Lytechinus pictus: one gene and its partners. The protein of the gene in region 4 purifies or fractionates together with the protein of the main gene of each other region. This does not show direct contact. Links are inferred from orthologs where the notes say so. Each region holds a gene or a part of one and is shown on either strand. Other genes may lie near its edges.

Region 1 (7,810 bases), on a different chromosome or scaffold from region 4:
TGCCATGAAATTTGTGTCATTGCATTCAAAACAATCAGTAATACTTAACTACCCTTATGTCCCCATGACACAAGTCCATAATATACTTTTAACCCTAAAAATGTCGGGGGGGGGGCGGGTGGATGTTTGTTGAATCAATTCAACCCACCAACATTTTCTGTGTTTATGTGACTAAGCTTGCTCTGATGAAGAGCAAAGCCTATGTGCTTGAAACATTGAAAATAAAAAAAATTTCAGAGCTATATTATTAGAAAGACAAACCAACAATCCTTTTCAAGACTAACCTACATGATGTTACCACAAATCTCTCAATCTAATAATATACTTTTGAAGTTACATGTATAATGGCATTTCAAAATCTCAACCTTGGTTAAGATTTCAATGTTGATACTACAAAGGCCCAAACATAGTCAAAGTTCATTGATCCTAAATGACCTTGGTTATAAATGCGACCTGAAACACACGCAAAATGATCAGTGATACTTGATTACCCTCATGTCCAAGTTTTATAAAACAATAAATTTCATGAGATTTCAAAAAATTAACCTTGTTTAAAAATTCAATGTTGATAACGCAGCCGTCGACAGAGAAGCGGCGCCTACAATCTCACTATGCTATGCAGGCGAGACAATGAAAATGAACAAAAATCAAATTACATGTATGAACAACCACCTTACATGTAAGTTCTAGCAACATACAATTGATTTGATATACAGGTACCTTCAAGAAATATCTAGAGCTTACTCTTGAAAATATAAATGACAGTATGACACAACTTCCAAACACACCAGTGATGCATCTAGGAGACTTTTTTCTTGTGTGTAAAACGATCTTCCCTTTCATCAACATACATGTGTAGGTATTGGGCTGATGCATGAGGAAAAGCAATAAAAATACCATCTGTAAGCTAAATTTCATTTCATTTTGTGGACCACACTTAAATTGTGTGTTTGAGTCCACCAAATCATTTTTTGATCCGCCAGTTGGCTACCAAAATTTAAAGTCAATGTCAAGCCCTGCTTCTTGATTCATTATCAAAGCAATATTTTTTCTATAGAAATTCTAAATAAATAGTAATGAAAATTCACATCTGGTTTTGAAGAAATGTTCAGCAGTGTTACCGGTAATCAATTTTGTTTATCCCCCCCCCCCCCTGTATCAGCACTTTGTTGGGGTAGACTTCCCCTTTAAACTTTGTAAGTCTAGTTTTGCATCTCTCATCAAAATCTATGTTTTGATGAAACTGATATAAAAGTAGAAATAAGGGTGTCTGAATCCACACTATAAAACTGGTTGATTTAGGATGAGTGGTAAATCTGGAAATGCAACAATTTTGGGACAAATCCAAACTGCAATATGCAATTAAGTTTTATCAATCTCATATTTGGGGTGTGAATGATTTCATTTTGATCACAAAATATAGTTGTTTTATCCGACATATGCTTTACCTTTGATCTTACAAAATTTGCCTTCTTTATCCATCTCATGCTTTACTTGTATATTTTATCGTGATTTTGTTAATGTTATACTCGTTGTGCATTACTACTTGCATTGTCCTTCTATCCCTCTCTGTTTTCATTCCATATTTCTAATAAAACCCCCGAGGCTGAAATAAATGAATCACCTCCAGATAATGTTGTTTGAACTAAATCTAAGAAAAATCCTAGAATTTAAAAAAAGTGTCAAATTCCTATGAATCCTATCTGAGCATCTATTTGACCAGTTTACTAGGGCAGTTTCTAGGCATTAAAAAACAATTGCATGAGCTCTTTCTTTGATTCTCTCTTTTTTTTAACTTATGGCCAGGAATATATCTTCCACACTTTCTTGCAGTAACTGGATTCTGGAATATTTCATGAAATGGCCAACATACATGTATATAATCAGATCTAGTATTCATCAAATTGGCACGAATCCTTTCTAGGTACATGTAGAAGGCAGCAGACGTTACGATTTATCTCTTTAGACCCACAAAGGAGGAACCCTTTGAAGACTTTAGTTTAGAAGTAGAACAGTGTTCCACTTCCACCATCCACTAACATCAAAATAAATGTACACGATCTCTAGCAAGCTGATCTCTAGACTATATTTAGATTGACATTTTTATTTGTCTAGATCTGAAACAACTCAGTAGAGTTCTAGAGTCTTATAGACCCTATTATAAATAATCATTGACTTGTATTTAACTTGGTCTTGGAATCTCTTCACACTCTCTCCTTTCTTCCCAAAAACTTTCAAAGCAAAGGTAAATTTACTTGTAAAAAAGTTATCTTTTTAATAAAATATTGATAGAACATAGTCATAAAGTTAGTCTTGACTAATTGATGGCAAAAGCCAAGCCAATGGCAAAGGAAAGGCAAAGCCAGACTGCAGGCATGAATGTGATACCACTTCCAGTCATGCAATGGGCATGACCATACATATATACATGTTCATGTGTTCAAATACACACCAGCTGAAAGAGCGAAGGAGCGGAGTGCCACACTGCCAAACCTGCGGTTCATTTCCGACTGATCAAGCCGCTGTGGCTGGGCGCCCGAGCAGCGTTGTTTGACTCTCCTGCTGCATTATGAAAAATTCTATTGAGTGGATTCACCGACGTGGGATCCCATTAGCCTTGCGCATGCGCTCGGCGAGACCTCTCATAGGCCCCGAATGGGTCAACAATTCATTCTGCGGCAGGCGAGCTTACCGTGTACATGGACCTTCGCCGTTCTAAAAAATCGTGACAACATTCAAATTGACGCTAAATTCGACCTAAAATCTGCCGTAAGTCGACTTGGAATATATACCAGTTTTGTCTACAGAAGTCAAGCTTCAATCTGAATATGGCGACGTCTTTTGACAGGCAATACTTGCGACGAATTCTCGCCGAAATCTGCGACATTTATTCCAAAAAAATGATCGTCTTTAGCACGCGGCTGGCTATGGCGGAATATCATTGCAATCATCAGTGGATGAAAGACTGTCGAATTAAGTCAAAATGTGAGGAATCCTCATAAAAATAAGAAAAGTGAATGCTTACATTTTCATCTTTGTCGATTGCACTGAGCAGCAGCTCCTTTATCTGACTCGGGGTTGGCGGCATTAGACCATTTCTAAGCAGCCAAACGGAGCCCTAGTGCCGTATTCCTGCTCGAAAGGCAGTATCCAGACATCGCGGATATTTCTTTCACATATCAGCGCGGTGATTTATGGGAAATCGCGGCAGGAACTTGCGATATGACGTCACATTTAGGCGCCACACACTGAATTTCACAGGAGAAACAAAATGTAAAATTATGAAAAAATCCCAAGTTATAAAAATACAAACGAACACAGTCAAGCATGAACAACAATGCCCATTCGTTGACAATCCGTTGGGTTGTTTTAAAGAAATGAGAGCGATTTATTTATAGGGAGACCGCGGTGAAATGGGGCAATTTTGTCATAATAATTGGGGAAGATTTCTTGTAACTCGAGTAATACAATCCGAATAAAATGAAGTATACCCTCGGGTAGATACCCTTACTTTAAAGTGAGTTTTCAAAAACCCTATTTAAACTTTACTTGCGGATGACGGAAGCGTATTTTTAATCATTTTGAAACCAAAATACTTAAAGGAAAAGTCCACCCAACAAAAGATGATTCGAATTAAAAGAGAAAAATTCAAGCATAATTTCATCGAATTCGGTTGTAAATTAAGAAAGTTATGACCTCTTGCTTAATTTCACAAAACAATTATATGCACACCGTGGTCGGTATGCAAATGATGAGACTGATAACTTCATCCACTCACTATTTCTTTTGTATTTATGATGAAATATGAAATATTCTAATTTTCTCCTCATTGTCATGCAAGTGAACAACAATTAATTCCTCCCTGATCCTGTCGAATTTAGCATTACCTATTAATACTATATGGTTCAGTCAAGTAATGGGTCCTTATTGTCAAATATGTAAAAATGAAATATTGTATAATTCAAACAACGAAAAACAAAAGAAATAGTGAGTGAAGGACATCATCAACTGTCTCCTTCGGATGCCACTGAATTGTGCAAATCACTGTTTTGTGAAAAATAAGCGAATCTTTAAAATATCATTACTTTCTTAATTAGTTTACATTCGATTTTGATGAAATTTTCAGCATTATGCTTGTCTGATCTTCTCTATTGATTTAAATCAACATTTTTCTGAGGTGGACTTGACCTTTAATTTGGAAAATATGTTCTAAGGATAGAGAATTCAGTGATTTACCAATAAATATAGCCCGGAAGACTGCAGATTGCCTTATCAGATTTTTGGGGGTATATTCCTGTTGTATTAGGCCTAAATATTATTTTGATGCAATCGAGCTATAATATTTTTCATAGACCTATAGGCTTATATAGCCAATAAGCTTTTATTACAAGCATGACTGTACTGTTCTAGTGAAGGTCCGCGCAGTGGTGTAACTACGGGGGGGGGGGCACGTGCCCCCTAGTCTGCTGGGCAAACCCTTCACTCGAGTTAGGGTCTGAATGTGCAGCCTTAATTCTGTACTGAAGGCCTGGAAGGCTGGCAATTGAGCGCGCTTCGCGCCCTCACTAATTAAGTGACTCAAAATGTTTGTAGGTGCCCCCCCCCCTATGCCGTGACCTACGGTACGCCACTGCATGAGTCCGCTTATCTCACTCGCTGATCTACAACGCGGAGCGAAGCGCGGGCCTGGAATTTGTTGGGGTACAGTAGTCAGTATGCCTGTATATAATATGTAGGTATAGGGCCTAAAAGATCGACTCAAGGCTGTGTAAGTATTCATGATCACGATCTCACTAAAATGATAATGACGCGAAGCACAAGCTAATTTTCTTAGACTTACACCCTGAAGCACTTTTACAGCAATTACATTAGGGGAGAGCGGGGCGATCCGTCCCAGGGGCAAGTCCGCCACGGCACGTGATTTGCCCATTTCCTGTGATTGGATATAAGTTTTTTTATGATAATGGATTCTAGAACATCTACCCCCTGGACATCCACCCCTCGGATATCCACCCTCTATATATGACATCCACCCCTATATAGAACAAGTACCCCTGCATGGGACATCTACCCCCGGACATCTGCCCCCGGATATCTACCCCTCGGACATTTACCCCCCGGACATCTACCCCCGGACATGCATCTACCCCCGGGCATCTACCCCCGGACATCTACCCCCGGACATCTATACCCCCGTACATCTATACCCCCGGATAACATGAGGTTTAAGAGTTACCATTTTCAAGTCGATATGCACAGATTATTCTGTTCGCGATTCGAGTTTGCAGTATTTTGTATTAGCGCGATACGCATCCTGATCATGATCTCTAAATTGCTTCGAAAACTTTCCAGGGGATGACCATGGAGGTGACCCGCCCCCTACATGGCAGTGCGCAAAAAGTAGGAATTTAAGAGAAGACCAAGAAAGAAAGGAGAAAGAAAAATAAAAAAAAATAAGAAGAAAATCTAATAAAGTGATTGGGGAACTAAAATGAATTGGTTTAATAAACAAATTTTGATTTCACTATAAGCTTGCGCTTTGTGTTCGCATTACCTTCTATTTCCAAGAAAAATAAATGATGCCTATGATATCATTTTGTTGTAATACATGTAAGACATGTTTTTGCTTGCGCTTCGAGATATTTAGAGGGATACGGTAACTATGACTATGCATTATATTCATCGCTACAACTTATTTTACATTCTGGGAGACATACACACAATGCATGAAAATCTGAAATAATTATTGTGATTGCATGTAAACATGATCACAGCCGTACACAACTGGTGGGGGGGGGGGAGGGCGCGCCACTTTGTTAAAAAAATAATGACCCCGAATTGGTATTGCGCCCACCCCCCCACCCCCCCACCCTCGAAATTTTGAAAACTTGCATTTTTTTCACTAAAATTTTTCACAAAATTCCCCAAAAGTGTGCATAAAATCCTTCAATTTCACTTTTAAAAATGCAAATGCACCTCAATGACAAGCTTGGTCGCTTCGCTCCCTCACTTTTGAGTTTCTTATTTTTTTTACGCGTACGTACATCCTGCCCCCCTCGAAATTTCTGCATGTGGCTTTGAAAATAAGAAAAAGGAAAGTGGGGACATGACATTATCATCGACGTGCATAACTGTTTTTCACAAAATGTAGGCCTAGAGTTTAATTTTAAAATTAAAAAAATCAATAACTTTCTGATTGTTATCAGATTTTGAAGAATTTTTCAGTATTTTGCTTTATGAAATTTACTATAGTTATTTAGATAAAATTATTTTCAGCCCGCGGGTGGGATACCCCTTTCATTAATGAGATACATAATGGTCTCTTTTGGAAATCATTATAAACAGTCCTTAAAATACTACCTTTTCAGGTAATATAATCAAAACCTTCAGCTCGCTGGCATGAAGGCACGCATATCCTGTTCATGATAACAAAGTGCTTACATGCTTATGATGATCAGGCTTTTGGATTAAATCAAATCTCTCTCTAAAAAAAACCCTTCAGCTCGCGAAAATTAAACTAATTTCATCCATCTTGCAGCGCGATCCAATATTTCTATACGCCAATTCTAAGAAATGTATTGAGTTTTGAGGAAAGGGAATTAAGGTCCGAAGGTGTGTAATTTCTTGGACCCATAAAGCGATTAATTCCTAGTGCTGAAGAAACGACAGTGACCTGTCACATTTTACATGTACTTTCAGTTGTATTTTGCATCGAAAGGTCAGAATACATGTCCTGTAATCATAAATTCCACAGGTTTCTTAAGGTTTATTAAGAATAGATTTATTTTCTTTCATACAACCCTCAATGATATGAGATAATTTTTTTTATTAATTAAGTTTAACAAATATTTCTGAAAATTTGTAGAATTCATGTAATCCACATACATGTTTTTATCACAAAATAGGATCTGAAAATAATATTCATAAAAAAAGGATTTTCATTGAAATGTCAATATTGTTCCTAACAGTGCATTATAAACATTGCACACTTTTAGAAAATAAATCTATCAAATTCATATACATTTCAAAATATATAAAAAATATTTTAATGTTGATTAGATGGTGTAAATCAATCAAATTACACACACATCTTAATATCTATTTGTGCTTGAACAAACTGACAATTTTTGTCCAGAGTATTACAATTACATGTATATAGCTTCGCATCAAAATGAAAGCAGAAGTGTGAATAAAGTAGATCCCATTCAAATGATTTTTGTAATATCGGAATTTAGTTCATTATTATAGTATATAACTAAAAAGTGTTAACGCCCTCTACTTCGATTGATAGTACACTGATCTGACTACTATACTATAGTATACAGATTATCAGTGGTTTGCTCCGTGATTGACTGGGAATTCAGGATGTTTAAAATTACGGAGATTCGGGCCTGAGATACAGACAATGAATAGATATTTAATTATAAGAGCGGCGTAATCAGTAAAAAATGTGAGGGGCTAGATATATGGCGTATTGGGCAAGATTTATTAAACAGTTGCTAGCGAGCGACCAAAAATTTTGACATAAAATTCAGGAAATATCATTATATTTTACTCTTCTCTCTTTTTTTTCTGGTTGTGAAAATTATCGGGGAGGAGGTGGGGTGGGGGCAAGTACCCCCTATCTGTACACTTCTGGACTAAATTATCAACCTTTCTGTTTTCATGTATTATGAACCTGAAAAAAAAGCAGAGAAGTGTGATAGAACAATAAAACATGTTTTGTTGGAAAATAAATGCTTAGTGTAGAATTCTGAAAGATAATAATTCATTTAGAAAAAAATTCTTCTTGACTGAATAACTGTCATGT
Region 2 (7,768 bases), on a different chromosome or scaffold from region 4:
TCTCAAAGGGGGCACGTCCCCTGGATCAGTTGTGACTCGTCAGAGGGACAGTCTTCCCCCCCCCCCTTGGTACACTAGTGGTTCCATGCTGATACAGCGTAGATCAGAGTCTAGATATAGAGACTAGACTAGAACTAAGATAAATTTTTTTAGATCTAGGACTGGTTTGTATACGGACTAGACATATTAAACCATGGCAAATAAGCTAATATTTGTCTAAACCTAATTAAACGTGAAGTTCGAAATTAACCAGTTCGAAGTTAACCATGGCATTAGTCGGCTATTCAGTGTTGTAGTCAAGGCTCAAACCTCCAAGGCCAAGGCTTCAATACCAAAGGCCAAGGCATGGAAACCCAAGGCCAAGGCCTGAAAACCTCAAGGCCAAGGCATTTCAAACTTACGATATACAGAACAATGAACTAACAATACTCGGGTGGCAGACATCACACATGGTAAAATATATGTGAGCGAGGGGACTGAGCGAGAAAAAAAATTAACCTTTGTACATTTAAAACAAATATAATTTCATGATAGAGACATATTAAAATAATGATATAGTTACCTGTGTACACATAATCCATAATTTTTTTATAGGCGATTTACATTGCAATAATTATTATTACCACGGTCATCTGATCCTGGCATTCTCAACGTATGTTTTTCTCCACTCCCTGGGACAGGGGCAGCAGAAAATTATTATGGGGGGGGGGGGGTCAACGCCAAAAAGGCACCCGTTTATCAAAATTAGTTTTTTTGTGCAAACAGATACATGTATTTTCAAAATGAGATTATGAACTGCGTGGAGTAATTGTGTGTTTTATAGAAATTAAGTTGAGCAAAGGCTTTCTAAAGTGATTTTTAATTATAAGATAGATATTTTGCTTTAGGTTTTACTTCTCAGCGAGAAAGCATAGCGAGCAAGCGGTTTTGAAAAAAAAAATCAATTCTGATGTTGTAAAACTTGATTTATGGTCAATTATGGGGCTAATCATTGTTGAAATTTCCTTGCGCGATGTTGCGAGCGCGAATCACCAGCTCAAACTTCTTGACATGTCGTGTAATAAGACATGGAAATTATTTTATTCTGAGCTGGTTTTGAAATCATGAAAAAGATGTGTATCTAACTAAAAAATAACTTTGCGCTCGCTAATTCTTTTTATATACTGACCAGTAAAGGAAGCAGTTAATTAAGCAGTTAATTACTGCATTTTAAATAAGGTACATAACTCACCAATAAAAAATAATGCGAGCGCAAAGCGCGAGCTCAAACATTTGTGATATTCCAACCTGAAAACTGGACATTCTAAGCATTTTTTTGTGAACGGGAAGAGAACGAGTACAATAATTGATGCGAGTGCAGGAAGCGAGCCAAATATTTGTGATATTTCAACCATAAAGCAACATTCTATACATTTTTGTAACCATTAGCATTTTACTGTACTAAACAATAATTGATGCAAGCACGATACAAAATCTGTGATTTTCGAACCTAAAATGTATTATGTTTTATTATTAAAGAAGGTATTTCTTTTTTTAAAAGGGCATATTTCATTTGGAAAAAAAAAATCCTACAGGGATTTTTTTTTTGGGGGGGGGGCAAGAGAGCACAAAGTGCAAGCTAAAATTTTCAAATGCTTAAACTGAAAATGAGTCATTTTTAGGACTCTTGTCAGTTTTCATATTTTTTTCTGCTTACAACCACTTTTATTAAACAGTTAATTAATCATTAATTATTAATACTTATTGATAATATTAATAATTATTAATTATTAAATTATTTTTTGTTAATTATTATTTCTTGAAACCATATTGACACAAAAACAAATACGTTGTTTATTTCCTTGAAACTGTAGAGAAATGATATTCAATGTTGAACGATATATGATTAAAAAGAAGTAAACATTTTTTCCCCTTTGTTTTGTCAATCTGACCCAAAACAAATATAAAATTTAGAAGAGAGATAGAGAGAAGAAGAAGTCCCACCACCAAGAATAAACTTAGACAAGGGGGGGGGGGGGAAGGGAAAGGAAAAGATGGAGTAAATGTGATATTATTTAAAAAAAAATCTATTGCAAAATTAGCTTTTCTTATAGAAAGAGGGGGACAAATTTTGTTCACTCGCTCGCTTCAATCGCTTTCTTCTTTTTTTTGACAGAAATTTTGCTCTATATATGCCATGCTTGGCCCCTAAAAGTTTCTGGCTCATCATGCCATTGACATAACCCATTTGGATATGACAAAATTGGAGACTGTGTTCAAGTTTACCAAATCTTTTCAGAATATCATTAAGACTTAAAACATTCTTGTTGGCCAAAGAAAATAATACAAGGAAAATCCTAATGGAATAGAAATCAACCTTGTTATCATTCTTAAGAGTTAGCTATGTTTAAAGTATGAAAATTGTTGTCAAAATTGCAGTCAGATGTAAAAATTATTCTTGTCATCAAAGCACTATTATCTTGATCATGACCATTATTATTTACTGTCACTATCATCATATGATTACAACACATTACCAATACATAATGCTATTTTTCATAACTGATGTATTCTTTGTTTGAATTTCTTGATAATGGTGACAATTACAATTGATGACACTGCTAGTACACTTACTACTGCTGCTGCTACTGTTACTGGTGATTGGTAGTATTGACCATTAGTGTTATTAAATATATATAAAAAAAAAACAATTGAAACATTTATAATTACTTATTTATAACAAATGAAAGTACAAAATACAAAATGCCTTGAAAATGCCTTAAAATTTCAAGGCTCAAAATCCTCAAGGCCAAGGCCCTCTCAAGGCCAAGGCTTTGAATAAGTAGCTAGGCATTAAGGCGCCTTAAGGCCAAGGCCGAGCATCAAGGCACTACAACACTGATTAGTACTAGGCATTAATTAGACAGGTCCAGATTTGAGGTAAAGTTAATGCGCTAGCCTAAGCTAGCCTAGACAGCTGGCAGCCGTCTGTTTCGAGGAATTTTTTAACATTTTTTTTTTTTTTTTTTTCTCCTCATACACAGACGGCTCGCTAGCGTGCAGCCACCATTAGGGGACTTGCAATGCAAAATCCCCCCGTCGGGGCTCTTCAATTTTTGTCTTTAATGAGTAAAAAATTTGAAAATTCACGCGACCAAAATGCAAATTAATATTCCCTCTTGGCATCAATTGCCAAAAAACGGAGAAAAATCAAGTTAAAAGGAACAAAAACAGTGACTTACCTCGGCTGTCGCGCAAATTCACTTCCCCGTTTTATCCGATCTTAAGTACATAAACATATGGCCATTGAGTCCCCTGTACAGATCGCGCTAGAACTTCGGTCTCTGTATTTGGTGAGTGAAGCCAACGGAGTTCAGCTGAACAACCAACATAACAGAGACCGAAGCTTTTGGTCTAAAGCTAGCCCTACCCTAGCACATGTCTTGCCATTAATGGCAGCTAGTTTATTAAGTGTTTAAGAATTGGATATATATATAGATCTAAGCCTATAAGACCTATGTAAGGGTACCGGTAATTTGACGATGCTAATTCATTCTGAGCAACGTGAATGCTTACGATCGGCACTGGTCGAGGCCAAGTCCACGCGCATGCGTACTCTCAAACTGAAGACGCAAGTCATGAATATTCATATGTTGGTCCAGAACTCGGCGGGAAAAATAATTTCGCACCCCACCCCCCCCCCCCCCCCTTCACACATGCACAGTTAACCCAGGGCCAGGCCATGGCCTATGGAGCTCCGGGTCGCAAAGCGCTTTGCGGCCTGGAGCTCCCTGGCCTGGGCCGGGTTATTCAGAGACAGAGTCAGCTGACTCACCACTCGAATGCCTTGCTCTTATTACTGTTTTTCTTGACAAAGGATTCCCAATACTCGGCAGAATTAATGTCTGATGACGATGCTGTTTCCGGCAAGAGATCCATTGTGAAAATTTTCCTCTGTCACTTAAATCAAAATATTGAAATCAAGTCAACATTTCAGCTCTCATCTGCATCTCAGACTCGTCTCAGTGTAGATCGTTCGCGCGCTTGAGTGCATGCTGCCCTCTAGCTAGTTCTACAGCAGCTGCACCTTCGGCTTCGTGTTTTGACATTTACCTATCATCCTATGCCTTTAACTATAATCCTGATCTTGTAAGTGATTCAGATTGATTTTTCTGTTGCCCAAGACTCTATTCAATCTAGGGCCCCAATCTAGGCTGCTATTTATATTAGTAATGTTAATCAAATTGAAATTAGAGTCTAATTGAAGAAGTGTATTCGTCCGTTTTTCTTTTCTGCCGTGTCAAAAGACTAGCGCTTCCGCGCACGGGGATTTAATTCCAGTGCAATTGAGTTAGTACGTCACGGAACTGTGATTTTATCGCAGGGCATGTGTGTAGAAGAATCGCATGCGCCGGTAATAGGAATGGCAGGCATCCTTTTCTGTCGCGCACTAATGCTAATATTAAAAAAAAGTAATATAGTCTCAACAATCCTTCGGCAGATAATCGTTAAAATACCCCTTCCGGTATCAGCGCTTCTCGCTAGCATAACGGGAAGAGGTCTTGACTGCAGATAAAATCAAACGAGGTGAGTTCGTTGGAGTCCCAACTAGTCTAAGACTAAGGCTAAGCCTAGGACGGCTAGGAGTAGGTAAGCAAACAGTAAAAAAATGATAGAAAAATCTGAGGTGATCGAACCGGAAGTCTCAACAATCTTACTTTTGGTGGGGGGGGGGGGGCACATAGAACTTTCCCCATAGGCACACAGTAGACGGATTCCCTGCACGCTGATTGGCTGATTGCGCGACCCTCTTCCCTTCCTCGCCCAGCGCTGTGTGTGAGAATCTTTACACCGCGCGATCGGCTGACTCACGGAGCACAACACTCTGTCTTGTAAAGATGCCAGCGTGTAGATTTCGGGCGCATGTTCGGATGATATCGGCACTTCGGCAGGCAGTGTCCGAAGTCTAAGCAAAACATGTGGTTTTCATCGGGTTACGCAAGGCCGAAGGCCGCTTGCATAAATTGTATTTGCATAGAGTACAGTGCACAGCGTATTTATAATGTACATGTATACTTGTCTGTACTGAATTCTGCGTTGCCCCCGCGATAGATGAATTTCCTGGTAGACTGCCTTATGATTAGATGCTTGGCGCAGACTTCATACATGTATATTAATGTCCTGTAAATTAACTTTGTTTTTTAATAGAATCATTTGATGTTCTAAAAGAGTGTATTTGTAGGATGTTTGAACCCTGAAAGGCAGTACATTTTATTAGAGCATATTATAAGTTGTATTTTCTGTGTGCTTACGAGAATTCATGTACTTGTGACACTTTGTCTGGAGTGTGGGAGTGCTTCTAGACTAGCATGAGTCTACCCAGTTGTATGGACAGGTTGTGTGTCCGGACGATCAATTTTAGAAAGTCATTTGGAAAATTTTACAAGCGAAGTTTCATCAATTTTTAATACAAGATATTAGGAAATATTATGGAGAACAAGATGATTACAACCATTGAATTCATACTTTTAGTGTAATGCAAAGACAAAAAAGAAGGCTTCAAAAATATAGTGTCCGGACGCCCGACCCCCCCCCCATCCTACAGCTACGAGAGTGAGAACGAATGTGACGTGATTGTGTGTTATAATTTTCATATTCTATTTGACTTAATTGTTGGTTTATAATTCAATTATTTTTCATTAACTATTTGACAATTTTCTGTTTTGCTGGACAATATCATTATAAGAGTTTGAGTATTCAATATCTTTGTATTATGCATTTTTACTCGTGCTAAGGTGTTTCATCAACTTTCAGACAGGAATCTTAGAAATCAATTTTAACAGAAAATATTTTTTTATCTAAAATTGATTTTACAGGAGATATCAAAGTGATTGTTTTCAGAAAGGTGGTTTAATCAACGATCTAAAATGGGATTATTTAAAATTCACAATAGTCATATAAAATATATTTTCTATATCAAAAAATTATTTTCATTGTCAATATATTGAGATTGATGAAACACATGTAATTACAATGACTGAAATGTTTTTAACAATATTAGAGCTAGTATTATTGTTCTACTGAACAATTCAATAAAGATATTGAGCTATTAACTTTTTGTTTATTTCGTTCATGTTCACGAAAATATTATACTTTTGCATTTTATTGGAAAATGAAATACTCTCCCTCCCCATACCCTCTGCCCAATTCCCTCAGTCCTAAACGTTGTTTACAATAAATGGTTATCATTTAATACCAATATAGGGTTTTTGGTGGTTTTTCCTCACTTCGATGTGCTGAGAAAATAGAAATTCCAAAAAAAAGGGGTAGACTCCGATCTCGCTGGTCTAATCATGGACTAATTATCTGGATGCCGATGGTAATGTAATTTTCTTACCCATTTTGAAACATGGTGCATAATAATGGAATGTTTATATTAGATGACAAGAATATATCTGACCTCTATTATATCAAAGTGCAAACAATATCTTATGTAATAGATTTCAGGCTTTAAATGTCACAGCCACGGCAATGGTGACATTTCATGAAATAATTGTGAATGTATTTATGAAGATATCGTCAGTACCTAACAATGTAAATAAGATACCGTATATGTAACCGTATGTTATCTATGGTGATTGGGAAATCTTTACCTTGGATCGGGAGGGGTACGTGATTCAACAGATTCCAATAGAAGTTCACATTCAACAATCTGACTTCAAGAAGCATATTTCTGATGGAATTGAACAATTCATCGAAAGATATATATATCAAGTTAATTGATTTGTCTGAACGTTTAGGAGCATGTATTTCGTCTGTTCACCCCTATAGATCTACACGAGTTGATACTATTTGTATTTGAATATCGTTGGAAATTTCGATGAATTGTTCAATTTCAATTGTCTTTATATATTTTATATCTGAATAACGCTTCAAAAATAGTTATCTTTACAACGGCATCGGCCTAATTTGTAAGAGTGCCTATTTATGAAATGATAGTTGGAATGTGAACGAGAACACTCGGCCCTAAAGCCGATGGCACGTGATCGTGTAGTATTGCTTGAAAATGGTGTTTCCCGAATTCCCGTCAGCGTCATTGGGTGAAATCCTCTTCTGTAACTTTAAAACTGCACTTCTATGGAAACTTACTGAATCACTCACCTCTCCCCACCCATGGTACAAGAAAACATTTCCAAAATCGCCAAAATTAAGATGTAAAGATTAATCAACCATCATCGTAATCAGCAGTGACAACATTCGCTTCGAACATCCCCCCCCAACACACACACATGATCTCAATTCTCAACATCCCCTCTTCATTTATGGACCACTTTCTCTTTTGCTCGATCGCTCTTTGCGACCATCCTACCCCCCCCCCCCTCTCGCACACTACACGCTGATGCAGAGTAGCAACAGTAGCTCCATGAGTGTGGTATGCAAAAAGAATTAGGCCTGTCGAACTATTTTCATAACATTTAGAATCGTATTTAAAAAAAAATCGTGAGGTACATGTATGCATTATGAAAACATTCGTGATCATGGGTGAACAAATGAAAGAACAATAAAAATCACTGGCGGATCCGGGGGGGGGGGGGGGGCACAGCCGGCCTGCGCGCCCCCCCCCACCATTGAGAGGCACAAGTAAAATTTGTAATTTAAAAATGGTGTTAAAACAGAAGCGTGCCCCCCCTTAGAAAGTGAAGACCAGATCCCCTTAATTATTTTTGGTTGAAACCCTTTAAAAAAAATCCTGGATCCGCCCCTGAAACAAATGAAAATACTTATAATT
Region 3 (8,041 bases), on a different chromosome or scaffold from region 4:
ACGGGCCTATTAACATTGGGAAAGCAAGAGATATTCATTCGAGCCAACCCATTGCTATTTTTTTAATTTTGATATGGCTGATTGACAAATTGTATGCATATGATTGTCCATCTAACACTGATTCTTTTTTTGGTAATTACTGAACTTCCTTTTCCCAAATTGGGAAGAAATATCACAAATTTTGGACTATATTTTGACTGGCGGAAGGATTAGGGCTTTTTTGCTGTTTGAGGTGATGAATCTGCTCCCCCCGACGGTGTCTTCAAACACGCCAATTTATTTTTAAAATGAGCCGGTCGAGGGACCCTTTTCTGGTCAGATATGGATTGCCAGATATATATCCTATCCACTGGTAGTAAACATTTGACCCCCGAATTTCATCCTTATTTTTTATGAATTTTTTAAAGTGCCAATTTAACACACGAGTCTATGGGGAATGAATTAGGCCTGTGAGACCTCTGATTGCCCTTCGCTACATCATTCGCCCATCATTCCAATCCACTTGTGCAGTGCACCAATTTTAACTCCCAAAACCCCTCTGGCATGCCTCTGACTGCTGTGTAATTGTAATACCGTATACTCTTTTGGTCCTGCAGCATATTGCTGATGATCTCGGACCACCTGACTGTGGTACACGTAGGCCTACATGTAACTCCATAAGTTTTGTAGGAGGAGCAACATTTTTTTTTTATTAAGATCAATTACATAAAAATTCCTCCAAAATGTGCAAGTTAAAGTCCCCCAACAGTTCCCAAAATCTTCTAAGCAAACTTTCGAGGTCTGATTTTGTCTGCGGTTATTTCATCTGATAGTCAGTCGGCAGGTCCTCAAAAAGTACCGTAGCTTCATTTATTCTTTAATCTTTTGATATATTTATGAGTAGAAAGGTTTTGCATATTCAATGACCTGTGTGCAGACCAAAACACCACTTTTCATTCGGCCAGTGCTGCTCCAAATATTGATCAAATTTCATGTTTTTGGTATCAATTATGGAGACATTCTTCTTTCAGGTCCTGTGTCTGAATTTTTAAAAAGAATTTGTTATATAGGTGAAACTTTTGATCTAAAACATGCTACAAAATAAGCATTTTCATCCAACAAGTCTTTGTTTTTACATTATATTTCTGTTTGTGTCAAAATGTTGAGATTATGTTAAAGCTGAGGATCTCAGCTTTAATGATATTGGCCTAGAAGGGGTGTTTAAATGGGTCAAGATCCAAGTTTTACAGTTTGAAAACTAGAATACTGCACTATGATTAGTAAGAGACCACGCACCTACCCAAATTCCAACGGTTTCCATGCTGGGGCCTCTCTAAGGTCACATTCACCATGCGGTAATCTCTTCAAATTCCATTTCAAGACATGTTTTCAGGCTTGAAATTCACTTATTTATCAAAATATTTAATTCAAAATAAATGACCAAAGAGTAACATTTATTCTTTCCTATGGTGCAATAATATTCAATTTAACTTGTAGATGAAGTGTTAAAATTCTCTGAGAGGGAAAGTCTCACAATTCACAAGATTTTGTAGGGAAGTGAATTCAGCCACAAGAGGACTATAAATAATAAATATTATTTGTTCATTAGCATAGGGGCCTGCAGTATGGTTGTCAGCGATCTCCGACCATAAAACGGAGTAGGATACAAGTTGACAGAATCACAGATATAAAAGAGAGAGATAGATGGAGTTTTATCCATGACTATGCCAATCTTTTGGCACTAATGCAGTTTCGCACCAGCCAAAGCATATTTTCCAAGCAGCACTCATTCAATGAACAAGGTTATGATGCCCAGCAGTAATTGTTTGTGAATGTCACAGCAAGTCCCTCAATCAATATGCCCGCTACTTTTCTGAATATTGTGACCAGGAATGGCTTCGATCTCGACATCCTTGATCGTTCAAATTCTCAGTAAGACATCGCTTGGCTTGGCTTCGCCATAAATGCGGCAAATCTTTTAGTCGCTAAACTTCAGTCCATATCAAAATTACAGCGAAGTCAAGTGAAGCGATGTCTGAGCTTGAGAACTCAAACAATAGCGTTGAGATCGAGGCAAAATACAGCCGTTCCCAATCGCGATATTCGGAAAAGCGGTGGGCATTCACCTCGAAATGTTAGTCAGCGAATGTTAACAAGACTTGCCATGTCCATGATTCATGAATGATGATTTGCAAACAATCTCTGATGGGGAAATTTGTCCCAATGACCGGTGCGAAACTGCATTAGCCATGTTAGCTCCATCTTTTAATTCATGGTGAACATGTCGCCATCAAATTTGGAGGAGCTTCTTAAAGGACAAGTCCACCCCAACAAAAATCTGATTTGAATAAAAGGAGAAAAATCAAACAAGCATAACAGTAACACTGAAAATTTCATCAAAATCGGGTAACTAAGAAAGTTATATTTTTAAGTTTCACTTAATTTCACAAAACAGTTATATGCACATCCTGCTCAGTATGCAAATGATGAGACTGATGATGACGTCATCCACTCACTATTTCTTTTGTATTTTACATATATAATATAAAATATGAAATGTTCTAGGGATTTTCTCCTCATTGTCAAGATCAACAACAACAACAACAAGATCAAGTGAAACAACGATTAATTCCTCCATGAACATGTGGAATTAACGTTGATTTTTCTCTATCGATTCAAATCAAACATTTTCTGGGGTGGACTTGACCTTTAAATAGAACGTTAGAAGCGCAAAAGTAAACGAGAACTGCTGATTTTGATTTGGCGACCACATATAACACAAAAATCAATAAGTGGGGACACACATTAAAAACCAAAGTGTTTGACAGTGCATGGAAGCAGATATACCTTTTCTCATCCGATTTTCCGACATGTGTTGTTTTCCCCGATAGTGCTGACATCTTCGAATATACCAGATAATAAGGGCATCTAACTTTGTAAAATACGACAGCAAAGTTCTTCTATTCGCCGGAACATATCACCAGTGCAAGAGCGCACATTTTCACATGGGCGCTGACATCTTTAATAATATAAAAACTGTGTTGTTCAAGACAGTAGAGGGGGTACAACCCGAAGTATTCATGTACCACGGTCTAGATAGTCAACGGTCAACTCGTCAACCTCGATCACAGCCGCTTCGAGTTTAGAACATTCCCAGAAGCCCTCAACTTATGCTCTCCTACGATACAGCTGTTGCAGGAGATAGCAAAGAAGTACGATCTTCCTGATCTTCACAGCCTAGTTTCGAATCCTCCCGTATACTCATCTTGGAAGAGATTGGTCAATTACAGAGTGAACCTGCTGACCAAACACAACACATGTCAAGGAATCCTTTCCAAGCCATCTCTTAAGTACTGGCAAGATTGTATACCTCCTTCTGCTAAACTCCTGTACCCGAAAAGTGTACCCTCTCCCGTCTAAAGAAGAGCATTGTGGTGAGAGCTCAACTCCTCACATCCACCTACTTAACACAGTGTCGTATTTTCATGCTGAAGAAATCAACCAGTCGCACTTGCCCTCTATGCAAATCTGCCGACGAGACTGTGGAACATTTTACTGGGCAGTGTCCTAACCTAGACCATCTCCGTCAAGTGTTTATTGGCAAAGTCAAGAACTGCCTTGTGGACTTCCCAACATGCGTCAATCTATGTCAATGTCAACCCACAGGTCTTTACTCAGGCTACCCTTATACCATTTCACTCTTGTTTGCCCAATGAAGTACACAATAGTCTACTTTTTAATCTCTCTTTTTCCTCCACAGAATTGACGTATTCCGTTCTGATATGGTTCAAATCTCCTAAGCCAGAATGACAGTGTACATGAACAAATCTGTTTCCTTGGACCCTAGGAATCTCCAAATAGTGGAGGGATCAGCTAAGAGAGAGGAACTACAACAAGGAACCAAAAAAATATACTTCGGTCATACAGGATGTGCTCCGCTGAGACTTCGTCTGGCTTCGCGTCATCCCCTGATTCCCCTCCCTCCATAATAGTAGGAGGAGGACTGACAAAAATCAGAAAATGTTGAAAAACTCCTCTGAAACAGCGAAATTTTCAGTCTAAGATTTGTGCTACAAGAACCAAGATTGTTATCCAGTAAAATGGGGGAAGGGGAGGGGATTGTCATGTATTCAAAGTATAAAAAAAAAAAAAATTCATGAAAATAATCATGGGATAATCTACAGAAAGAAAAGAACAACCATCCCTATGATCTTTTAAATAATTAAAAAGAACAATGTGAAAAATAAAATGGATCCCAGAAGGGATTTGTGGAATAAACATGAAGCTCACAGGAAAATGAGATATAGAGATTGCAGTATCATGATGACCTATCCTTTGGGACCATATACCCATTTTTTTGTTTCATTCAGAAAATAAATGACGTCAATCTCTGGGTGTCATCGAATGGGCCGGCGGCGAAATTATTTTTCCCACCGAGTTCTGGACCGACATATGAATATTCATGACTTGCGTCTTTGGATTGAGAGTACGCATGCGCGTCCACGACCAGTGCCGATCGTAAGCATTCACGTTGCTCAGAATGAATTAGCATCGTCAAATTACCGGTACCCTTACATAGTTACATAGGTCTTATAGGCTTAGATATATATATATATACATATATATATATATATATATATAGATATATATATATATATATATATATCTAATTCTTAAACACTTAATAAACTAGCTGCCATTAATGGCAATACATGTGCTAGGGTAGGGCTAGCTTAGGCTAGCGCATTAACTTTACCTCAAATCTGGACCTGTCTAATTAATGCCTAGTACTAATCGGTGTTGTAGTGCCTTGATGCTCGGCCTTGGCCTTAAGGCGCCTTAATGCCTAGCTACTTTTTCAAAGCCTTGGCCTTGAGAGGGCCTTGGTCTTGAGGATTTTGAGCCTTGAAATTTTAAGGCATTTTCAAAGCATTTTCAAGGCTTTTTCAAGGCAATTTGTATTTTGTACTTTCATTTGTTTTAAATAAGTAATTATAAATGTTTCAATTGTTTTTTTTTATATATATTTAATAACACTAATGGTCAATACTACCAATCACCAGTAACAGTAGCAGCAGCAGTAGTAAGTGTACTAGCAGTGTCATCAATTGTAATTGTCACCATTATCAAGAAATTCAAACAAAGAATACATCAGTTACTAGTATGAAAAAAAGCATTATGTATTGGTAATGTGTTGTAATCATATGATGATAATGACAGTAAATGATAATGGTCATGATCAAGATAATAGTGCTTTGATGACAAGAATAATTTTTACATCTGACTGCAATTTTGACAACAATTTTCATACTTTAAACATAGCTAACTCTAAAGAACGATAACATGGTTGATTTCTATTCCATTAGGATTTTCCTTGTATTATTTTCTTTGGCCAACAAGAATGTTTTAAGTCTTAATGATATTCTGAAAAGATTTGGTAAACTTGAACACAGTCTCCAATTTTGTCATATCCAAATGGGTTATGTCAATGGCATGATGAGCCAGAAACTTTGAGGGGCCAAGCATGGCATATATAGAGCAAAATTTCTGTCAAAAAAAAAGAAGAAAGCGATTGAAGCGAGCGAGTGAACAAAATTTGTCCCCCTCTTTCTATAAGAAAAGCTAATTTTGCAATAGATTGTTTAAAAAATAATATCACATTTACTCCATCTTTTCCTTTCCCTTTACCCCCTTGTCTAAGTTTATTCTTGGTGGTGGGACTTCTTCTTCTCTCTATCTCTCTTCTAAATTTTATATTTGTTTTGGGTCAGATTGACAAAACAAAGGGGAAAAGTGTTTACTTCTTTTTAATCATATATCGTTCAACATTGAATCTCATTTCTCTACAGTTTCAAGGAAATAAACAACGTATTTGTTTTTGTTTCAAGAAATAATAATTAACAAAAAATTATTTAATAATTAATAATTATTAATATTATCAATAAGTATTAATAATTAATGATTAATTAACTGTTTAATAAAAGTGGTTGTAAGCAGAAAAAAATATGAAAACTGACAAGAGTCCTAAAAATGACTCATTTTCAGTTTAAGCATTTGAAAATTTTAGCTTGCGCTTTGTGCTCTCTTGCCCCCCCCCCCCCAAAAAAAAAAATTCCTGTAGGATTTGTTTTTCCAAATGAAATATGCCCTTTTTAAAAAAGAAATACCTTCTTTAATAATAAAACATAATACATTTTAGGTTCGAAAATCACAGATTTTGAATCGTGCTTGCATCAATTATTGTTTAGTACAGTACTGCTAATGGTTACAAAAATGTACAGAATGTTGCTTTATGGTTGAAATATCACAAATATTTGGCTCGTTTCCTGCACTCGCATCAATTATTGTACTCGTTCTCTTCCCGTTCACAAAAAAATGCTTAGAATGTCCAGTTTTCAGGTTGGAATACAACAAATTTTTGAGCTCGCGCTTTGCGCTCGCATTATTTTTTATTGGTGAGTTATGTATCTTATTTAAAATGCAGTAATTAACTGCTTAATTAACTGCTTCCTTTACTGGTCAGTATATAAAAAGAATTAGCGAGCGCAAAGTTATTTTTTTAGTTAGATACACATCTTTTTCATGATTACAAAACCAGCTCAGAATAAAATAATTTCCATGTCTTATTACACGACATGTCAAGAAGTTTGAGCTGGTGATTCGCGCAAGGAAATTTCAACAATGATTAGCCCCATAATTGACCATAAATCAAGTTTTACAACATCAGAATTGATTTTTTTTTCAAAACCGCTTGCTCGCTATGCTTTCTCGCTGAGAAGTAAAACCTAAAGCAAAATATCTATCTTATAATTAAAAATCACTTTAGAAAGCCTTTGCTCAACTTAATTTCTATAAAACACACAATTACTTCACGCAGTTCATAATCTCATTTTGAAAATACATGTATCTGTTTGCAAAAAAAAACTCATTTTGATAAATGGGTGCCTTTTTACGTTGACCCCCCCCCCCCCATAATAATTTTCTGCTGCCCCTGTCCCAGGGAGTGGATAAAAACATACGTTGAGAATGCCAGGATCAGATGACCGTGGTATTAATAATTATTGCAATGTAAATCGCCTATAGAAAACTTATGGATTATGTGTACACAGGTAACTATATCATTATTTTAATATGTCTCTATCATAAAATTATTTTTGTTTTAAATGTACAAAGGTTAATTTTTTTTCTCGCTCAGTCCCCTCGCTCACATACATTTTACCATGTGTGATGTCTGCCGCCTAAGTATTGTTAGTTCATTGTTCTGTATATCGTAAGTTTGAAATGCCTTGGCCTTGAGGTTTTCAGGCCTTGGCCTTGGGTTTCCATGCCTTGGCCTTGGCCTTTGGTATTGAAGCCTTGGCCTTGGGTATTAAAGCCTTGGCCTTGGAGGTTTGAGCCTTGACTACAACACTGAATAGCCGACTAATGCCATGGTTAACTTCGAACTGGTTAATTCCGAACTTCACGTTTAATTAGGTTTAGACAAATATTAGCTTATTTGCCATGTCTAGTCCGTATACAAAACCAGTCCTAGATCTAAAAAAAAATTATCTTAGTTCTAGTCTAGTCTCTATATCTAGACTCTGATCTACGCTGTATCAGCATGGAACCACTAGTGTACCAAGGGGGGGGGGACTGTCCCTCTGACGAGTCACAACTGATTCAGGGGACGTGCCCCCTTTGAGAAGCCAAATTAATAATTTGTAATGTAAAAATGCAATGAAAAAGACGTATGTCCCCTTTTTTGAACGTGAAGATCTTTTTTTTTTTTTTTGCTTGTCAATTTTTTTTTCAGCTAAGAAATCCATAATTTGGGGTGAAGACCCCTTTTTTTTTTTGGGGGGGGCTTGTCACATTTTTTCGCGGACGAAATATCCTCTATCCTCTTGTCAGACATTACAAATTATTAATTTGGCTTCTCAAGGGGGGGGCACGTCCCCTGGATCAGTTGTGACTCGTCAGGGGGGCAGTCTGCCCCCCCCCTTTGGTACACTAGTGGTTCCATGCTGATAGCGCGTAGATCAGAGTCTAGATCTAGAGACTAGACTAGAACAAAGATATT
Region 4 (8,336 bases):
ATACTTGATTACTCTATGTCCAAGTTTCATGAATCAGATCCATAAACTTTCAAAGTTATGATGGTAATTCAACAGATACCCCCATTATGGCCAAAGTTTATTGACCTTTGACGTTGGTCATGTGACCTGAAATTCGCACAGGATGTTCAGTAATACTTGATTACTCTTATGTCCAAGTTTTATGAACTAGACCAATAAACTTTCAAAGTTATGATGGTAATTCAACAGATACCCCCAATTTGGCCAAAGTTCATTGACCCTAAATGACCTTTGACTTTGGTCATGTGACGTGAAACTCAAGCAGGATGTTCAGTAATACTTGATTAACCTTATGTCTAAGTTTCATGAACTAGGTCCATATCTTTTCTAAGTTATGATGACATTTCAAAAACTTAACCTTAGGTTAAGATTTTGATGTTGATTCCCCCAACATGGTCTAAGTTCATTGACCCTAAATGACCTTTGACCTTGGTCATGTGACCTGAAACTACGGCAGGATGTTCAGTAATACTTGATTAACCTTATGGCCAAGTTTCATGAACTAGGTCCATACACTTTCTAAGTTATGCTGTCATTTAAAAAACTTCGGTTAAGATTTGGTGTTGACGCCGCAGCCGCCGTCGGAAAAGCAGCGCCTATAGTCTCACTCTGCTTCGCAGGTGAGACAAAAATAAGTACTCACATGTCTTGAGATGAAACATGACAAAGGTCCAATTTCTGTGAAAAGGCCAACCTAGGAAAAATTAAGATATACATGTATTAAAGGAAAATTCAAAGTAAAATTTATTTCTATACTTCTATCTTTAGTCAGGTTAAACAAACAAGCACATGGAAAAAAAACAAGCACATGGAAGAATGGGGTTTAAATCAGCAAGACTTGAGAAAATGTAAAAACTTGATTCATATCACTAATATTATAGCAGTACCAGAATTTACATGTATCTATAAATTCTACCACTTCAATGAAATGACTTTACTAGTATCACAAATACATACCCATATTGCAAGTACATGAATTCATAAGTAATCAGATATGGTAGTAAAGTTATTACAGGAAACGGCAATGTGGACAAATATTACCTTCATATCATTAGCTTTCACCCACAAGTTAAAATTTAAACTATATCACCCAGTTGAGACTGATTATCAGTTGTTTCCAAGGTGACCAACTTACATCATCACCAACATCACAAATCACCAACACTGGTTGTTGGTCATGGTCACTTGATATGTGACCTATCATCTTAACCTTGGTCAGTAGTAACCTCATTGTCCAAAATCAAATTCTCACCTTGTTGACCTGTGTGACTACAGCATCTACTACCTCTCCTTTGAATGGTCTGAATACTATTGCCTTGTATTTGACTGGGTAGAGAACAAAGCCCCTGCTTGGTTGTATCATCCCAGCACCAATGTTATCAATGGTCGTAACAGCAATGACGAAGCCATACCTAGATACATTAGAATAGAATGTCATCAGTAAGGTACATTCCTACAAAAACATACAAGTCCATAAATTAAGATTCAGAAACCATCTCAAATACTAGACATTTCAACAATGTTATCAATGGTCCTAAACAGCAATTATGAAGCCATACCTACATTAGAATAGAATATCATGCAACAGTGTGCTACATTCCTTCAAAAACATTGTTCATAACAGATATTTCTACTCATAGTCTGAGATCCTCTTCAATACTAAACGTTTATATATTCAGACAAGTGAAACTCTGCCTCAATAGGTTCTATTTTGGTGAGCTTTTAATTATTTTTTTAAATCTTTTGGTTTAGATCAACCATCAGAATGTATAAACCTATCCAAATTCACAAAACATACAAAAGCTTCCAATAACAAAATATTTCATGTGATTCAAACATGTAGGAAACATGATTAAATTCTGACAGGCTCTAGCCGAATATGTTTTTGACTGTTGTGTGATAATATAAGTCCTGATAATATAAGTCCCTAATAACCCAATAATCCGTGCACAAGGAACTACATACATAGGATTTGTATCGTGCACGTATCCACCTTCCTAGGTGCTCAAGGCGCTCCTATATTACGCTAGTCTACAGATTCCGGTGCACACAGCTTTTTGAAGAATTACTTCCTGCCGATACCCATTTACCTCACCTGGTTTGAGTGCTGCACAATGTGTAAATATTTGCATTCATACAATTGATTCCTATATTCCATCAAACTTTACAACCATATATAACTGATTGATAAAAGAAAAATATGTCATTGTCAATAAACGAATGATTCCCTAATAAAGTTATAAACTGATTTACTTTTCATCATACTTTTAAAGGGGGATCATTGCTGACACAAGTGCTATCCTGAAAGTGGCTTAGGCTTATTCATAAATTTCAAAATAGGAGGGTGTACTCACTTCCCAGTACAGGTCCCTTCTACTTCAGTGAACAACTTCTGTTTGACAGTGTTGAGTAGGCTCGGTCCAAAGTATCTTGGATGAAGGAGAATTTCATGTTCAAGTGATACCTGGAGAAAAAAAACAGAATCTTTCATGCTTTTAATTTGATAACAATTATGCCATTTTCAAAATGGGATGATCATGAGAAATTTTTAACTTTATTTTGATACCAAGTATTGATAATTTGATTTAGCAGCTTGAGACATATCGATTGCTGAGTGGAGGCATCTCAAAGCATTATCTTTCAGCTAAGATTCATGATATTTATTGGCCGATACAACTACAAGTATTTTTTAAATTCTAATTTTGCACTGCTCATGATATTGTCGCCCTCTATACGCTTCTTGTAGCTAGGCTACGATAACTAAGACGGCAAGATGGCGACAATAACAGTCTGTGAGTAAACGCTCCTCTACTTTTAATTCATTCATTATGTGTAATATTAGTTAAAAATATAACTATTTTGGGCCAACAGGATTAAAATTATATTGGAGCCCATGCAGTATACAGCACACACTTTAAAAAATCATTAAGATATCACTTTGTGCCCCAAAATACTAATTTTTGTACAGTTGCAATATATTTTTCATTAGTAACTTGGGAATAATTTTTGTATTCACCAGAGCGCTCAAAAACTTGAATTTTGGGCATATTTTTGTGTATAACATGCCCTTCTATTAGTGGAAAGTAATATGGCAAGAAAATTTTCATTTTTAATCTCTATTTTTAATTAAGAAAAAATATTCAAAGAATCAAATTTACTTAAGAGCCAAGTTATATGATGAATAGCTGTAATGGAAACTGATACTGATAGTGTAAAAAAAATCAAGCATTTGTCCCAAAGAAAAAGAGAAAATAAGCCAAACATTGCCAACCTTATATTGTGCCACTCCATGTGTGGCACAATAAGGTTGGCAATGTTTGATGGAGATGTTACAGAGAACAAGGTTATGGCTTGTGTTCAATTTGAATTTGGCCATGCGAGTACGACTCCGAGTGCTGCATGCGCCATGGCCCGTGCCACCCATGGGTTCAATTCATCTCGCGTGCGAAGGATTCATATGCACCTGGTGCACGCGAATCTTTCACACCCTTTTTGCTCAAATAACTATGACATACCATTATAGCTAAGATTTCTAATTGTGCTATGACACTTACCGAACCATATGATCGTTTGTTGAATTCTCTTTGCTGTTTTTTTAATTAAAAAAAAGCATTTTTGCTTGATCTTCATGTAGATGCCTCCTGATCAGCATGGATATCAATTTTTGCCTAAAGAGGGCATGCGATATTATTCTTATGCCGGTTTGTACCGTTTGTCTGCAGCTTGTACTGCTAGCTGCATTCTAGGCGCTCAGCATTATTTTCTTGCTCGTTCAATCCACTTTCATCATCATCTGTCAAAAGATGGCGCACTTTACCTATAAGTATATACATGAAATTATATCAGCATGTTCGTCCTTGAGTAACACGTATCGCGGGTTCGCCTCCTCTCTCCCATTATGTAACGTGGATATTTGAAGTTGAAAAAATATCGGTAACTACGAAAATGTCGAGCGGTCATCGAGGGAAACAAGGCGGGAAACGCCCTCGACCATCTACCGGCTCTAGTCCCGAAGGACCTGCTCTCTTGCCTGCCATTAAGAATATGTTAGCAGAGGAGATAGGAAAGGTACTAGAAAGAATTCAAGTTTTGGAACTTAACTTTGGAGCCAAAATAAAGAAATTTGAAGAAAAACTTAACGATGTTGTGAATTCGGTCACTTTTAATGGACAGAATATTTCAGAACTTCAGCAGAAAATAGAGGAGGATAAGGAAATAGTCAACCAGGAAATTGACAGTCTCAAGACATACATTAATTGAGAAAATTTACTTTTTCACGGAATAGTAGAAGGTAATCAACAGGAAGATGTGGAGAACCTTTTACGGGACTTTTTTGTGGAGCATCTTAGATTTGATAGAGCGATTGCAGATAGGATTGAATTTCAAAGAGCCCATCGGATCAACTCTGCCAGAAGACCGCGCCCCATCATTGCAAGATTTTTAAGATATAAAGATCGCGCTGCTGTGTTTCTAAGGGCGAAGAATTTGAAAGGTTCACGCATGTTTATTACAGAGGATCTCCCACTGCGAATAAGAGAACGTCAAAGAGCTCAATTGCCAGCCTTAAAGGCAGCCCGGTCTTCAGGTAAGATGGCTTATTTCTCCCGAAGCGAACCTTGGAAATTGTATATCGATCGAGTTTACGTGCCACGGGAGAGACAACAAGTGTTCATTCGGCAACTTCCTACAGAGACACATCCCGGTAACCCAGGAATACGTCTTCAGGTAGCTACTGGTGCAGAGCCCAATCTCCCTGAATAAGCAACTGGCGCTATGAGAATACAAGGAGAAAAGCTTGGATAAGTATCAGTTATGTTTACATTCGCTTACACTAAGCATTTAATTTTCTAGACTACGGAGTTAAAGAGGTTTTCACAAAGTGAGACCCTTCTAAACACCATTTAAACTGTTAAACTGTGATAAGAATTTAGTTTGATGAATATTTCACAACAAAATGCGAGTCAACTAAAACCAAAATTGTATATTATTTCTGAAAGATGCAATGAGGATGATTGAAGAATATTCCTATTCAAACAAAAAGGAAGAGAAATGCAGGACAAAGAAGACAGGAAAATATAACAGCAATAACTAAAGCGTGGTGTGAGAAAAGATATTGCGTACTCTTATCTTATCTTATCTTATTTTTGACGCAAGGAAGGAAAGGAGACGCAATGTTCAAAAGTGGAAAGCTAGAGAGCTGATATTTTTTTTTTATTATCAAAGATATTATGCAACGAGAAGAAACTAGAATGAAGAAACTAGAAGACGTTCATGGAATAATCACCCTTTATTTTGTGTAAAAGTAACATAGACCTGTATACATATATTTTTTTTTCTTTCTTTAAATAAATATTTATTAGAGCCTAAAGTGGCTCTGATTGCTTGTGCAGGCTATTCTTAGGCCTTCTTATATGTACCAAGTAAATATTTAAAAATATAGGCCTACTAAAGAAAGCCTCTTCTATTGTTTTTTTTTTCTTTCACCATTTCTCTTTTATATTTGTGGGAATAAGTAATAACAAAACTTTAAGTTCAAACCAAGAGAAAGGGAGGAAAAAGGAAATGGCATTTTAAGTTGCAGTTTTTTTTTTTTTTTAACTGCAGTGAATTAAAGTGCTGTGGAGCTACTTTGTAAAATAAGTATGGATTTCCTTTGCAAAATAACTATGGATTTGAAGAGATACTTTTTTTATCCATTATAAATAAGTGGATATGCGTATACATTGTATGTATTTACAATATGCATTTTTATTTTATGATCTCTTTCTATCTCTCTCTCTCCCTCTCTATACGCTCTCGGGGACTGCCTCTAATAATGACAGGAATGCTAGTTAAATGTTGTAGGTCTGATGCCAATATCTATAGCTACATGTATCTGGTTATGTCAATCTCTTCGCTTTGTATAGCGGATAGGAGGAGTAACTGTCTGAAAAAAAGGAAGACAAAAAAGGTAAATCTTCCTTCAAAAGTTATGATGTTAATTGGATAAAAAAAAAAAAAATAGCGCATTCCGATCGTACATTGGTATCGTCATTATTGTAAGCGAGAGGCGGAGGGAGAGAGAGGGACTGGCAAAAAAGATGTTAAATAACATTCTTTAAAATTCTTTAATTTTTTACATATTTTTGAGAGAGTTAATGCACTAATCTTTGGTGTGTTGAAACAATAAGGTACAAAAATATTACCTAACTTGCAATTAATTAATTTTGAGCTTGAATTTGCAAGGTAGGAAGGGGTTTCTTGGCTCATTCACTATACCACTTTTAGCCCAAAAAAGGGGGAAAAAGTAATGCAATGCACAGTCTAATTTAAATGCATAACCTTAAATCGGTTTATAAAAGAATAAATATTGCTAATGAAGGTAGACAGGATGAATAGCTCTGTGTGCATTTGCAATTTTGTATTGATAATTCATTCGTCTGTATGACCCTGAGTTGAAAGCAAGATCCTTTTGCTGGTGATTATGCATTAAGTCTTTTTTCTATCGCCCATCCCATGAATTTTTGAATGATAATAGTCACATGGAATGACACTTCCAACAATTAGAGTCTTTGAAATTTCTTTAGGGGTTATTGATCTACATATTCAATGAAACAAAATAATGAAGGAGTGGAAGGATTTTGCTTCAGGCAGGTATAGCTTTAATTGGCAGAGTACATTATTAGGATATCTGTGTTACAATGGCTCTAAACAAATTAGCATAGGCAATTTGAATAGCTCCATTAATGTTATTGAAAGTAACCAGCTATTCGAGTGACAAGAAATTTGCTCTCATTTGTTTCTGATTGTTCTGATTAGAACGGCGCTATTTTACATGGGATCTCAAGTACTTTGAAGAGTTTTGTCATTTATTCTGATGAACTGGGGGACAGAGCGATTTTGAATGACGTTTATTGTGTGGGGTAAATGTTTGTTCCATGCATGCATTCATAATGTAATGGGTCTAGTGGGTGGAACATGTATGACTACATCACAGAACGAGTCTGAAAGATTCCCGTATACATTCTTAAGGATAATCATGACTTTGTTGTTGGTATTGTCATTTGATTTGAATTGATTGAAAGGTGTTTTTTTTTTCTTTCATTCATTGTATCACTTATCATGCTTATTATAAATAGAGGACACATGGTAGTAGCTCTTCTCATACCAAATCTCATTCATATTGGTTTACAGAAGAATAACAAATATGCCAATGCAGGTATACAAGTCCTGCTGTATATGTTTATTGGAACGATGTTATTGTTATTGGGAATTTTTGTGTATCCGGAAGAGTTTTTGCCATTTGCTTTTCAATTAGGATGTAGAAGAATAGGAATAGTTTGGACAGGTTGGAACATAGTATCAACTGTATCCTTTATCGGTGCAGTCAGATAATACCTTTTACAATAAGAACCCTCTTGGATGTCCTGTATTCATTTTGACTGGTATCTTTAAGTATGCTATACGTTTCAAGTGAGTTATATCCTATTATGTAGGTTTATTTGGGTTCACTCTTACATGTGTTCACTCCAAATGTTATGAAGGTCTAAACGTTTTAAGTCTAGCTTTGATATGGGACAAGGGCTAAAACACAGAATCAGGTTATTCTTTCGGACTCTTTTATTATTATTATTTTTTTTTTCTCAGCGTTATATAGGTAGATATTTTCTGTAGACAAGGGAGATAATGTTAATATGGACAGCATACAAATGGCTGCTCTATAACGGGGGGGGGGGGGGGGGGGGGGGGGGGGGGGCGGAACTGCGGGTCTATAGGATATATGTCAATCATGCTGGTGTGCGTGTGTTGGGGTGTTTGTGAGAGTGTCTTGGGGTGTTTGTGCGTGCAAAGGATAGTCTATGGGCGTGTGTTTGAGTATGTTTGCAGAAGTGTATGTGTTATGTTTGTTGGGATGAAGTGGAGTGATACGTTGAGTGGTATGTTTTCCAGTTCTGGTGTGGATGTGAATGAGTGGGGTGCTATGTGTGTAATTGGAAGTTTCTGTGTCTGTCTGTACTTGTATTATTTTCAACTTTACTTAAAAGCTCTTATTTCTGAAGTAGGGAATGCACCATTTCGTGTCCTATCACTGTGGCAACTCTTCACCAATGAGGGGTAATTTAAAAATACTCACAGTCAATGTAAGAGGGCTAAGAGATAAAGTAAAAAGAAAGAAAATTTTTCAATGGTGCAAAAGGTCAGGAAATGTAGTATTTTTACAGGAAACATTTAGCACACAAGATATTGAAAATAGTTGGAAGGCTGATTGGGAAGGGGAGATGTATTTTAGTCACGGGAGTAATCACAGTAGGGGAACT

The links.
Region 1: the proteins of DNA-directed RNA polymerase II subunit RPB7 (region 4) and mediator of RNA polymerase II transcription subunit 26-like purify together in Homo sapiens (affinity purification with mass spectrometry; 6 studies listed by BioGRID and IntAct, counting the BioPlex papers as one, with this or other methods). This does not show direct contact. The link is inferred for Lytechinus pictus from reciprocal best matches to the Homo sapiens genes POLR2G and MED26.
Region 2: the proteins of DNA-directed RNA polymerase II subunit RPB7 (region 4) and transcription initiation factor IIB-like purify together in Homo sapiens (affinity purification with mass spectrometry; 3 studies listed by BioGRID and IntAct, with this or other methods). This does not show direct contact. The link is inferred for Lytechinus pictus from reciprocal best matches to the Homo sapiens genes POLR2G and GTF2B.
Region 3: the proteins of DNA-directed RNA polymerase II subunit RPB7 (region 4) and putative RNA polymerase II subunit B1 CTD phosphatase RPAP2 purify together in Homo sapiens (affinity purification with mass spectrometry; 5 studies listed by BioGRID and IntAct, counting the BioPlex papers as one, with this or other methods). This does not show direct contact. The link is inferred for Lytechinus pictus from reciprocal best matches to the Homo sapiens genes POLR2G and RPAP2.

Annotation. Positions count from the first base shown.
Region 1 is NC_087255.1:33,529,973-33,537,782, forward strand, and holds the start of mediator of RNA polymerase II transcription subunit 26-like, read right to left. Parts: upstream 3,284-7,810; 5' UTR 3,089-3,283; coding exon 3,026-3,088; intron 2,718-3,025; exon of another isoform or gene 2,453-2,717; intron 1-2,452. UniProt on the Homo sapiens protein: Component of the Mediator complex, a coactivator involved in the regulated transcription of nearly all RNA polymerase II-dependent genes.
Region 2 is NC_087259.1:26,430,782-26,438,549, forward strand, and holds the start of transcription initiation factor IIB-like, read left to right. Parts: upstream 1-4,498; 5' UTR 4,499-4,566; intron 4,567-7,768. UniProt on the Homo sapiens protein: General transcription factor that plays a role in transcription initiation by RNA polymerase II (Pol II). Involved in the pre-initiation complex (PIC) formation and Pol II recruitment at promoter DNA.
Region 3 is NC_087259.1:3,805,604-3,813,644, reverse strand, and holds the start of putative RNA polymerase II subunit B1 CTD phosphatase RPAP2, read right to left. Parts: upstream 3,020-8,041; 5' UTR 2,880-3,019; coding exon 2,827-2,879; intron 1-2,826.
Region 4 is NC_087251.1:16,537,793-16,546,128, reverse strand, and holds the start of DNA-directed RNA polymerase II subunit RPB7, read right to left. Parts: upstream 3,314-8,336; 5' UTR 2,531-3,313; coding exon 2,394-2,530; intron 1,452-2,393; coding exon 1,292-1,451; intron 734-1,291; coding exon 683-733; intron 1-682. UniProt on the Homo sapiens protein: Core component of RNA polymerase II (Pol II), a DNA-dependent RNA polymerase which synthesizes mRNA precursors and many functional non-coding RNAs using the four ribonucleoside triphosphates as substrates.